Nothobranchius furzeri: one gene and its partner. The protein of the gene in region 1 binds, or shares a complex with, the protein of each later gene. Links are inferred from orthologs where the notes say so. Each region holds a gene or a part of one and is shown in the gene's direction. Other genes may lie near its edges.

Region 1 (4,242 bases):
ATGTGTCTGTTTATTCATATTGCACAGATCTGAGATGATTGTGTAAAATGCATTCGCCGGACCCGCGTGTTTACCTTGTTTACAGTCGCAGTAACCCCAGTCTATTCTGCCTTTGTGGTTCCTAAAGAAGCACCAGGGACGAATCCTGCCGTCCGGGTTGCGGCAGTGGTTGTGTTCTCCTATCCCCCTGCTCGGATAGCGCTCACGGAACCCGGCCACCTCGGTCCAGTTCATACACCGGCTGCCGGACTCGGTGACATCAATAGCTCCCCGGTAGGAGCCGTCTCTCCCCTGGCTCCGGGCGCATTCGGTGGACGAGGGGATGAATGAAGGGACGCTGCTGGAAAAACAGCCGCTTGCGGTCAGAAGAGCGGCTACTGAAGCGAGAAACGTCGCCTTCATGTTCTGCGACCGTGAGCCGCTGATAACGGTGGCAATCCGTTTCACTCATCAGCTGTTTCCAGACATGCAGGCAGCCCCGGCGCTTTTCCCCGGGAGGGGAGAGAACCGAGAAGAAAAACGACGCAGATCGATGAAACTCTTTTTGCGTAGGCTGATGCGCTGGCAGCCCTTCCGAGAGGAGGAAACCAAATTACTGATTGATCCAAGATCCAGCCAAATGTCACGAACTAAAACGAACTCTACGCGGAGCCGTAATAAATATAACAAAAATTCCCCTAAACCAATTTAATATATGTGTTGGCTAATTACATTTTAGATAGACTATATTTCCCATTTCCCCTCAGTCAGGTTAGGAAATTTTGCTTTGAGAAAAAACGTTTGAAATGTTTTTGCACTGCTGTTAAAATGCTAAAAGGAGAAATTAAATTAAAATTAGGCTATTAGTTATCTGTATTGTTATTGTTGTTATTTAATCATTATATGCTTACTGCTAAAATTATTTCAATGCTATATTTTTATGTAGTACGGCTACAAAGCTGTGAATTTGCTTCTTGCACTAATTTCATTGTCCGTAAGCTTTTAAAGCTACTCGACTATTGATACTGTATTTAAATGCCAATAACACATTCCCTTCTTTTTATTGTGGTATCATGAGCTGTGAGAGAACGGGAAACAGTCGAATATAGCTGTTTGTTGGATTGCCTTTTCCAACTGTTCTCTGTGATTGGGTGATAAATTTGCTGACGCCAAACGTATGCGTCGGACAAGGCTCTTTCATCATCATCGAGTGACTGTAGGTTCAAATGCTTGTTAAATCTTGTAAACAGCGTACACCGAACCTTCTCTGGGTAACCGGAGTTATAGCCCTCAAATCGGTTTATTTAATTTTCTTTGTAGAATTTTATACATGTCTTCAAATTACACGTTATTTGAGTGTTTTATATGTAAACTTTGCAGTTTCAATGCATCGCCCTATATTTGTTAAAGACACACATCTACTGTGATTACTTGTACCGGTGTTCATAACGAGCGCACCCATCATCATTTCAGCGGCTATGTCGATTTAGCTAATGTTTAGCTAGGAGCTTGCTGCTTTCAGAAGTGAACGTAATCCGTATTTAGCAACGACCCGACGTTTAATATAAATACAGATCTACTGTCACAGAGGAGAACATGAACAGTAGGCTTCAAGAAATCCGCGAGAAACAAAAACTGAGACGGCAGATCTTGGCTCAACAGGCAAGTACACCATAGTTAACAGTTAGAAAGTGGCTAACCGCTAACGTCGCTTTGGTCATAACGGAGCTGCAGGGTGCTAAATGCTCACCATAACTTCACCGTCCCTAACTTGGCTGATGTATTAAATACTCGCCTTCCACCGAGCTAAAAGAAAACACCTTCATAGCAAATGTAAATAAGTGTAACCCAAGCTAGAGCCGACTTTATTTGTCGAATGAAATGTAGCAGCAATGCAAAAAAGGCGTTCACAAAGTTCCAGTCAAATGTTTGCTGATGTTGGTTTCTCTGTGTGTGTTTCTCTAAATGCGCAGCTGGGAGCTGAGAGCGCAGACAGTATCGGGGCTGTCCTTCACAGCAAAGATGAGCTCAAAGAGATAGAGGAGACAAGAGAAGCAAGCAGGTAAGGGTTGTTCCTCCTCACAGACAGGGCGGGATCGTCTGAGCTAGAAAAGGGCTGCGTTTGAATGAAATACGTAAATGCAACGTGTTTGCAGGCGCGTTGCAAACTTTTCAAAAGTGTGGGGGATGTTGTCTGTGGATGTCATCAGTTGTAAATTGAAACTCAACCTCAATCCAGTAAGGAGTTCGCGCATGATTCACAGTAACATAGTCCTTCCAAAAACATGCTTAATATTCACCAATGTATAAACTGCACACATGCAGAACGGGAAGAACTAATCTTCCAAACAACAGAACCCAAGTTTTCTTCATCAACAACACCCAATTCAACAATAAGCTGTTAAATCAAAAGGACGTAAAAATACACTAAATACACATTTAGAGAAAAACACACAGCAGCGACAATCCAATATCCTATCCACAGAATCCACTGTTTAAATTAAAGCCCAGACTTCTCTTTCCAACAATATTTATGCACTCTACATGCAAAATTCACAGAACCAGCAGCTAACAAACCACAGCTCATTTCATGACGTGAAAAGCGTAAATACAGTCTTACCTTTGTTGATTCATGGTCATAATCCATGTTATGGTAAAAACAATCCAATCCCTTTGTGTAATCCATCTTCACAACATCACACAAAGCTGATTCGTGGCTGTTTTAGCTTGCATCCATCTGATGCCAAATCCCAAAAATCTAGCCTAAAAAATCAAAAGCAAGCGATTCTATTGGCTCAGAGGTTTCCTAACTAACCTGAACGGCTTCAATAATCCAACGGCGGGGTCTGGAGAAACTCCTGAATAAACTGTGGTTCCAGCCCAGTCCACCAGCGCACAGGTGTACTCGGGTAGAGGCGGGGAGGTTTCGACAAACTTTATTTGTCACTGAATGTTAATAAAGCTGATTTTAAAGTTGGACCAAAAAAAAAACCTATTCCGTAGAAGGAGCGTTCAACTATTCCTTTTACAAGTGGCACACTGTGGCATTTGAGACCTCGCTTTAAGTGTGCATATATTATAAACCTCTGAAAATTGTTGTTCTTCACTTTATCAAACTCAGACTTTGTACAGCTAATGTCAAGATGTAAAATTATGAATTCAGTGAAATTTAAAACTACTGATGCATTTTTCAAAAGAGGTATTCATCCTGAAATCAAACATTTCGGGCAAAATAAGCAAAAGAAAAATAATCAACTTTTTTACAATGTTCCTTGTCTATTTACACTTCATCAGCAACACTTATTCTAATATTCACACATCTGAACAAATCCCACAAGAATTCCTTTTATAATGAGACCAAAAGTAATGAAAAAGACCTTGTGGTTACAGGAATATAGCCATTAAAGTGTGGGCATGTTATTTGTTTTTATTTCAACAATGCCATCAAATGGTTTGTGTTACATTGACTTACTGTTTTATAAGAACATATTATGAATGTAACATTAAACACAGTAGTCAAAAGTAGAGAATGGTGGTGGTGATTATGAATATCAGGACACTAATAAACAATATTACAAGACATTAAAAGTCAAATCAGTAACACTTTAGGAAACACAACTTAATCATTAACCAGGGGTTAACTAACATGCAAATGATACAGTCTGATTTATGAATTACTAATGATAACAAATTTGTGAATGACCTGAGTACATTACACATGTCCAAAAATTAAAACTTATTGTGTTATTTCCTCCAGTTTGAACCATAAAATTAGATACAGCTCAAGGTATGACCTATAAAGTACATTCTTTGGATTCAAAACCAAAACAACAGGGGAGGTAAGATTCAGCAAATACTTCGCAGAAGTGAAAACCTGCTTCATATGAACTGTGGTAACTGAGTAGGTGAGATAAAACTGTATTATTTTTAAAAAGCATCTCCACAGCTGTAATCATCACACTGGATGAATCCAAAAGCAAGACATCCAACACTTAACAGCAATTCAAGCTATTTTCAAGAACAATCTGTGTAACATCTTTGAGCTAGACCAGCGGTTCCCAAACTTATTTAGCTGCGCACCCCCCAGCCCCCCACATCCATCTTTTCCCCTATAGACATTTGATTATGCACAAGTAGGTGACCAGTTCAGGTTTACGCAGAGCAGAAGGAAGGAGAGCGCTCTGGCCACAGGTTAAACGTTCCTACTTTAAGAAAACCATTAAATTGCATTGTTGATGTGCTACCTGGGTACTCTAAATATTT
Region 2 (4,298 bases), on another chromosome or scaffold:
TTGAGGTTATTGACATAGGTAGCATGATGTTTGCTGTGGTGCAGCTGCATTATCTCTGCACAGATGTGAGGCTCCAGGGCTCCATAATCATAGGTCAGGTCAGGAAGGGTGTGCTTCTGCCTTGATGCAGCTATCTGGTTAATGCTTTGGCTGAGGCTGGCTGCGCACCTGAAATTAACAAAGAGGAGAATTGTAATAAATCACGATCCAATTGTGCATCAATCACCGGATACAACTAAACAGCAATTCAAGATGGCTGCAAGCGACTGACTTTAGTGTTTATTCAGGATTTACACAGCCGAAACCATTAACTAAATGTACTTTTAACATAGGCTCGTGTGTAATTTTGTGCATTCGTTTTGACACTTTAAGTTTGCAACTGCATTCAACCCTAGGCATAAAATAATGACGGAAGTAATCTAAACTATTTGGTGCGCCATAAACTAATGTAAACAGCTTGCTAAACTAAGTTAGCATCCTGGCTAGCAAACTGTTAGCTCCTGATGTTTGAAGATCATACTCGATTACAGCACGCAACAGCTCACTCTGCCTGTTTTCAACAACTTTATATATGCCCTAATGTTACGCGAACATCCGTTTTACCTGCGTATTTGCCCAAGTCTGCTCAGCATGTTTCGAATGGACCTCAGCAGGTAACCAGAACCGTGTGCACGCGCTAGTAAATAACTGCCCTTGAAACTGAGCCATTTCAAGTTGACAGACTGCACCATCATTATTATACGATGGGGGTGTTTGGAAGCGTTTGCATGATTTCTGTAATGTTGCGGACGCTGAAAGTTGGACTTCGTCGAAACATTGGTTTGCCGTGTTTGTCAATAAACCTTTAACTTGTGGCATTTTTTATGAGTAACCATGTCATTTTGTTTTTGAAATGCGTTTCCCTATTACGCTGCACATGGTCTTCAGGGCCTTAGCTCGTTATTTTTCTTTTTATTATAAATTAGTAAACAAGTGTAAGACTTGGATTTGTGTCGTCAAAATGTTTAACGAAATTTTGAAACACGAGAGTAATCAAAATAAAGAAATGTTTAGAAGACCACGAGGCACGTGACCCTCTTTTTTAATCGTGACGTGAAGATTGTCTACTTTGTTAAGATGTCCCACTCTTTAGAAATGTTCTTTTTTTTTTAAAAAAAAGTCTTCATCCAATTTAATCAATGACTCAAAGCAAACATGTTTTGCCTGAACCAGTTATTTTAGAAATATGCGTTTCTGCTAGGTCACCTATATTTGAATAATTTTAACTTAATTAACAAATAACATTTTTTGTTTATTTATTTATTCTATTTAGACAGATGTTATCAATTATTTTGGTCGATTGACTCTAAAAAGTTGTACCACGCATAATCAAACATTAACTATAGTAAATTATATAAATAAAACGTTGAAAATATCCCTTGTGTCGTGGCCCTGCTCGAGTTTCAGAAATTATTTTACGAGTGAGGCGTCTTCTCTCTGTTTTTAGCTCTCTGGTATTACTCCGCAGCATTTTCGTCCGTAGCTATTCCACACTGCCGTCAGCTAAAGAAAGATGATTGCGACTAAGCCCAAACGATACCGTTACTTGTCATTTCTCTGAATATTTGACCGTTTATGTGATTGTTATCCTCACAAGGAATTTCTGAAGCCGACAGTTCTGAGAAACATCGAAGATTCAGGGCCAGGTGAGTGTTTTTGTGGCGTCAGGCCTGGTAACTGCAGCCAAGAGCCCGCTAGTTTCAGGAAAAGGAGCGCAAGGGAGGGAGTCGTTTCCTTCACCGCCATTTTGTTATAACAAGGAGCCGAAACAGAGCAAATAATTAAGTGCCACCCATTTGAATTTAAATTATATTTAAACGTTACTTTGTAACTATGAGTTCAATTTACCATTGCAAAGGAGTGCTAAATATTAGTGGTCAGTAGTTCACCTTGGTTAGCTTCTTCGCTCTGCTAGCTGCCACAATGTCCCGACATTTAGCTGTACAGCGCTTATCAACTGGTTATGTTAAATCTTATGTTATCGACCAATGAGTCAACTCTTTGCCATAAAATATGCGGTGTTCTTTCTTCAGAAACCAAAACGCACGTAATTTAGCTTGTGTGCTAGTCGTGACTAGACTGCGTGCGGAGAACTAACGCTTTAGCTGAAAAGATGATGCAGTTAATTCAACCTGCAATTTAAGCAGCAGTAACTGATGATTTCTTGTCATATTTTCTTCTAGAGTTCAAAATGACCAACGAGGAACCTCTACCCAAGAAGGTTAGCGTCTGATCCTGTTCATCTCCTATTTGAACTATGTTCATTTAGCCTTTGGTTGTCTCCAAATAGCAGCCGGCCTCATTGACCAGTTTTTCTGTTTTCACAGGTTCGCCTGAGTGAGTCGGACATGAAGACCCTGACTAGAGAAGAGCTGTGTACCAGGTGGGTGTTCACGCTGCGATTGCTGTAAAATCACGTGTTCATCTAAAAATGTTAAACCTTCTTTTCTCGTTTCAGGTGGAAACAGCATGAAACGTACGTGCAGGTCCTCGAGGCCAAATATGCAGAGCTGTGTTGTAAGTGCAGTTTCGTAAATGCAATCCAGCATCATGTTGAGTTTAGTTTATTTAGCCGTTTCAACAGTCAGCTATAAATGCTACAATGAGTGCATTGCCTAACCTTTGGCTGTCTGTGAAGAGGACTAATCTGTGATGTTTTTTCATCTCATCCCTTCAGCGAACGATGTTCCAGGACTGAAGGAGTCGGAGGAAAAGCTCAAGCAGCAGCAGCAAGAGTCTGCTCGCAGGGAGAACATCCTGGTCATGCGACTTGCCACAAAGGAGCAGGAAATGCAAGAGTGTACAGTACGTATCTGTTTGCCACTGAATTCACTGTTTTGCTTTGGTCGAATGTTGCTCCCCGTTGATCTGTAGGAAGCTCCTTGTTGGGTGATTGATTTATTTTCTCTCTGATGGATGTCGACTCTCCTTTTTGTAATACTGTATAAAAAGGCGATGTTGAATTTTACTTATCATTAGGTTAGGTCACAGAAGTCAAACGTTCACTAATGACAATAGATTAATACCAAATGTAATGTTTTATAGTGATGTTTTGAACAGATGCCTTATTTAAAATGGCAAACATCAAAATGAGTGCTAACATCTGTCAGTGTGGCAGCTGTAGTCGATGTTTTATGTATTTACACAAGATCAGAGCTTCTTAGCCATAAAACACTGCTTATAAGTGCAATATGATCTTTGATTGAGATTAAAATACTAATAGAAGTAAATGTTGCATGGTGTCATTTACACATACATGATATTTTTCTAAGTTTGTGACGTAAAAGGATCTTAAAACAAGCAGCAGCATTTGCAGAGCAGCAGCTGTTATAAACAAACGTGCTGTTTTCTGTCAACAGAACCGGTCGTAAACAGGGATACTGTTATGGCCATTCACATTCATTCACACTGGGCCAACAAGTAGTTAAGGTCAGCCGTTGGCTTTAGACTGATGGTACAGAGTGTTCAGTGGCTTTATGGGGGCTCATCTGCCTTAAAGAGCAGCAGAGCTCACCTCAGCACACCTTTTCTTTCATTTAAAAGCCAAAAATAAGGATTAGGTTCAGTCAGATGCTGCTACTTTTGTTGCTTAAGCCATATTAGTTGTGCCTTTTGGCATATCGTGTAGGGCTGGGCAATAAACCGAAAATGTATCGTTATCGAAATTTCTGACTTATCGTGATAAATGTTCCCATATCAATACATTTGATAATACAAAATTGAAAAGATGTGTGTGGGTTGGCAACGTTCATGTCCCTAGCTGTACCAGGGTTTTTCCTGCATTCAAATTTGCCTGGTGGCCTCCTCCAGCTAATTTGTGCCGCCCCAGCCTGATTTCACTCTGCCCCCAGCTATATGGATGTTATTTTAACTGCAGTTGCAGCATTGCACCACTACGGGGCGCTGTATCAGCAGCGGTGCACAAAAAAGCACTAAAACCGCAGCAGACAAAGATCAAAAATTGCTTTTCTCTCTAGTTACATATCTGTGGTCGGTGCTATTGACGTCCTGATTTTCCCCCAGGCTCTTCCATATCAGAGCAGGGCTGTACAGTGCGATGAAAAACACTGTCTGCGTGTCTGTCTATTTGTAAATGTAACACGGGTGCAACATCTTTGAATTACCATTTTCCCCTGAACTTTATTGAACAAAAGTAAGTTACTTGTAAGAAAAATGCTTTTTACTGGCGCACGACGTGGTCATCTGGATGCAGTGGAGGAAAGGAACCGGCAAAGACGCAAAGGCAGAACCGGTGCAAA

The links. Proteins that work in one complex are often made in the same cells at the same time.
Region 2: mettl14 (region 1) and wtap share a complex: the UniProt entries of both Homo sapiens proteins name them as parts of the WMM complex. The link is inferred for Nothobranchius furzeri from reciprocal best matches to the Homo sapiens genes METTL14 and WTAP.

Annotation. Positions count from the first base shown.
Region 1 is NC_091746.1:78,155,158-78,159,399, forward strand, and holds the start of mettl14 (N(6)-adenosine-methyltransferase non-catalytic subunit METTL14), read left to right. Parts: upstream 1-1,442; 5' UTR 1,443-1,575; coding exon 1,576-1,641; intron 1,642-1,952; coding exon 1,953-2,041; intron 2,042-4,242. Other genes in the region: prss12 (neurotrypsin), read right to left, coding at 75-402. UniProt on the Homo sapiens protein: The METTL3-METTL14 heterodimer forms a N6-methyltransferase complex that methylates adenosine residues at the N(6) position of some mRNAs and regulates the circadian clock, differentiation of embryonic stem cells and cortical neurogenesis.
Region 2 is NC_091742.1:5,865,037-5,869,334, forward strand, and holds the start of wtap (pre-mRNA-splicing regulator WTAP), read left to right. Parts: upstream 1-1,498; 5' UTR 1,499-1,685; intron 1,686-2,222; 5' UTR 2,223-2,230; coding exon 2,231-2,260; intron 2,261-2,366; coding exon 2,367-2,422; intron 2,423-2,497; coding exon 2,498-2,556; intron 2,557-2,716; coding exon 2,717-2,844; intron 2,845-4,298. Other genes in the region: sod2 (superoxide dismutase [Mn], mitochondrial), read right to left, coding at 1-168, 604-734. UniProt on the Homo sapiens protein: Associated component of the WMM complex, a complex that mediates N6-methyladenosine (m6A) methylation of RNAs, a modification that plays a role in the efficiency of mRNA splicing and RNA processing.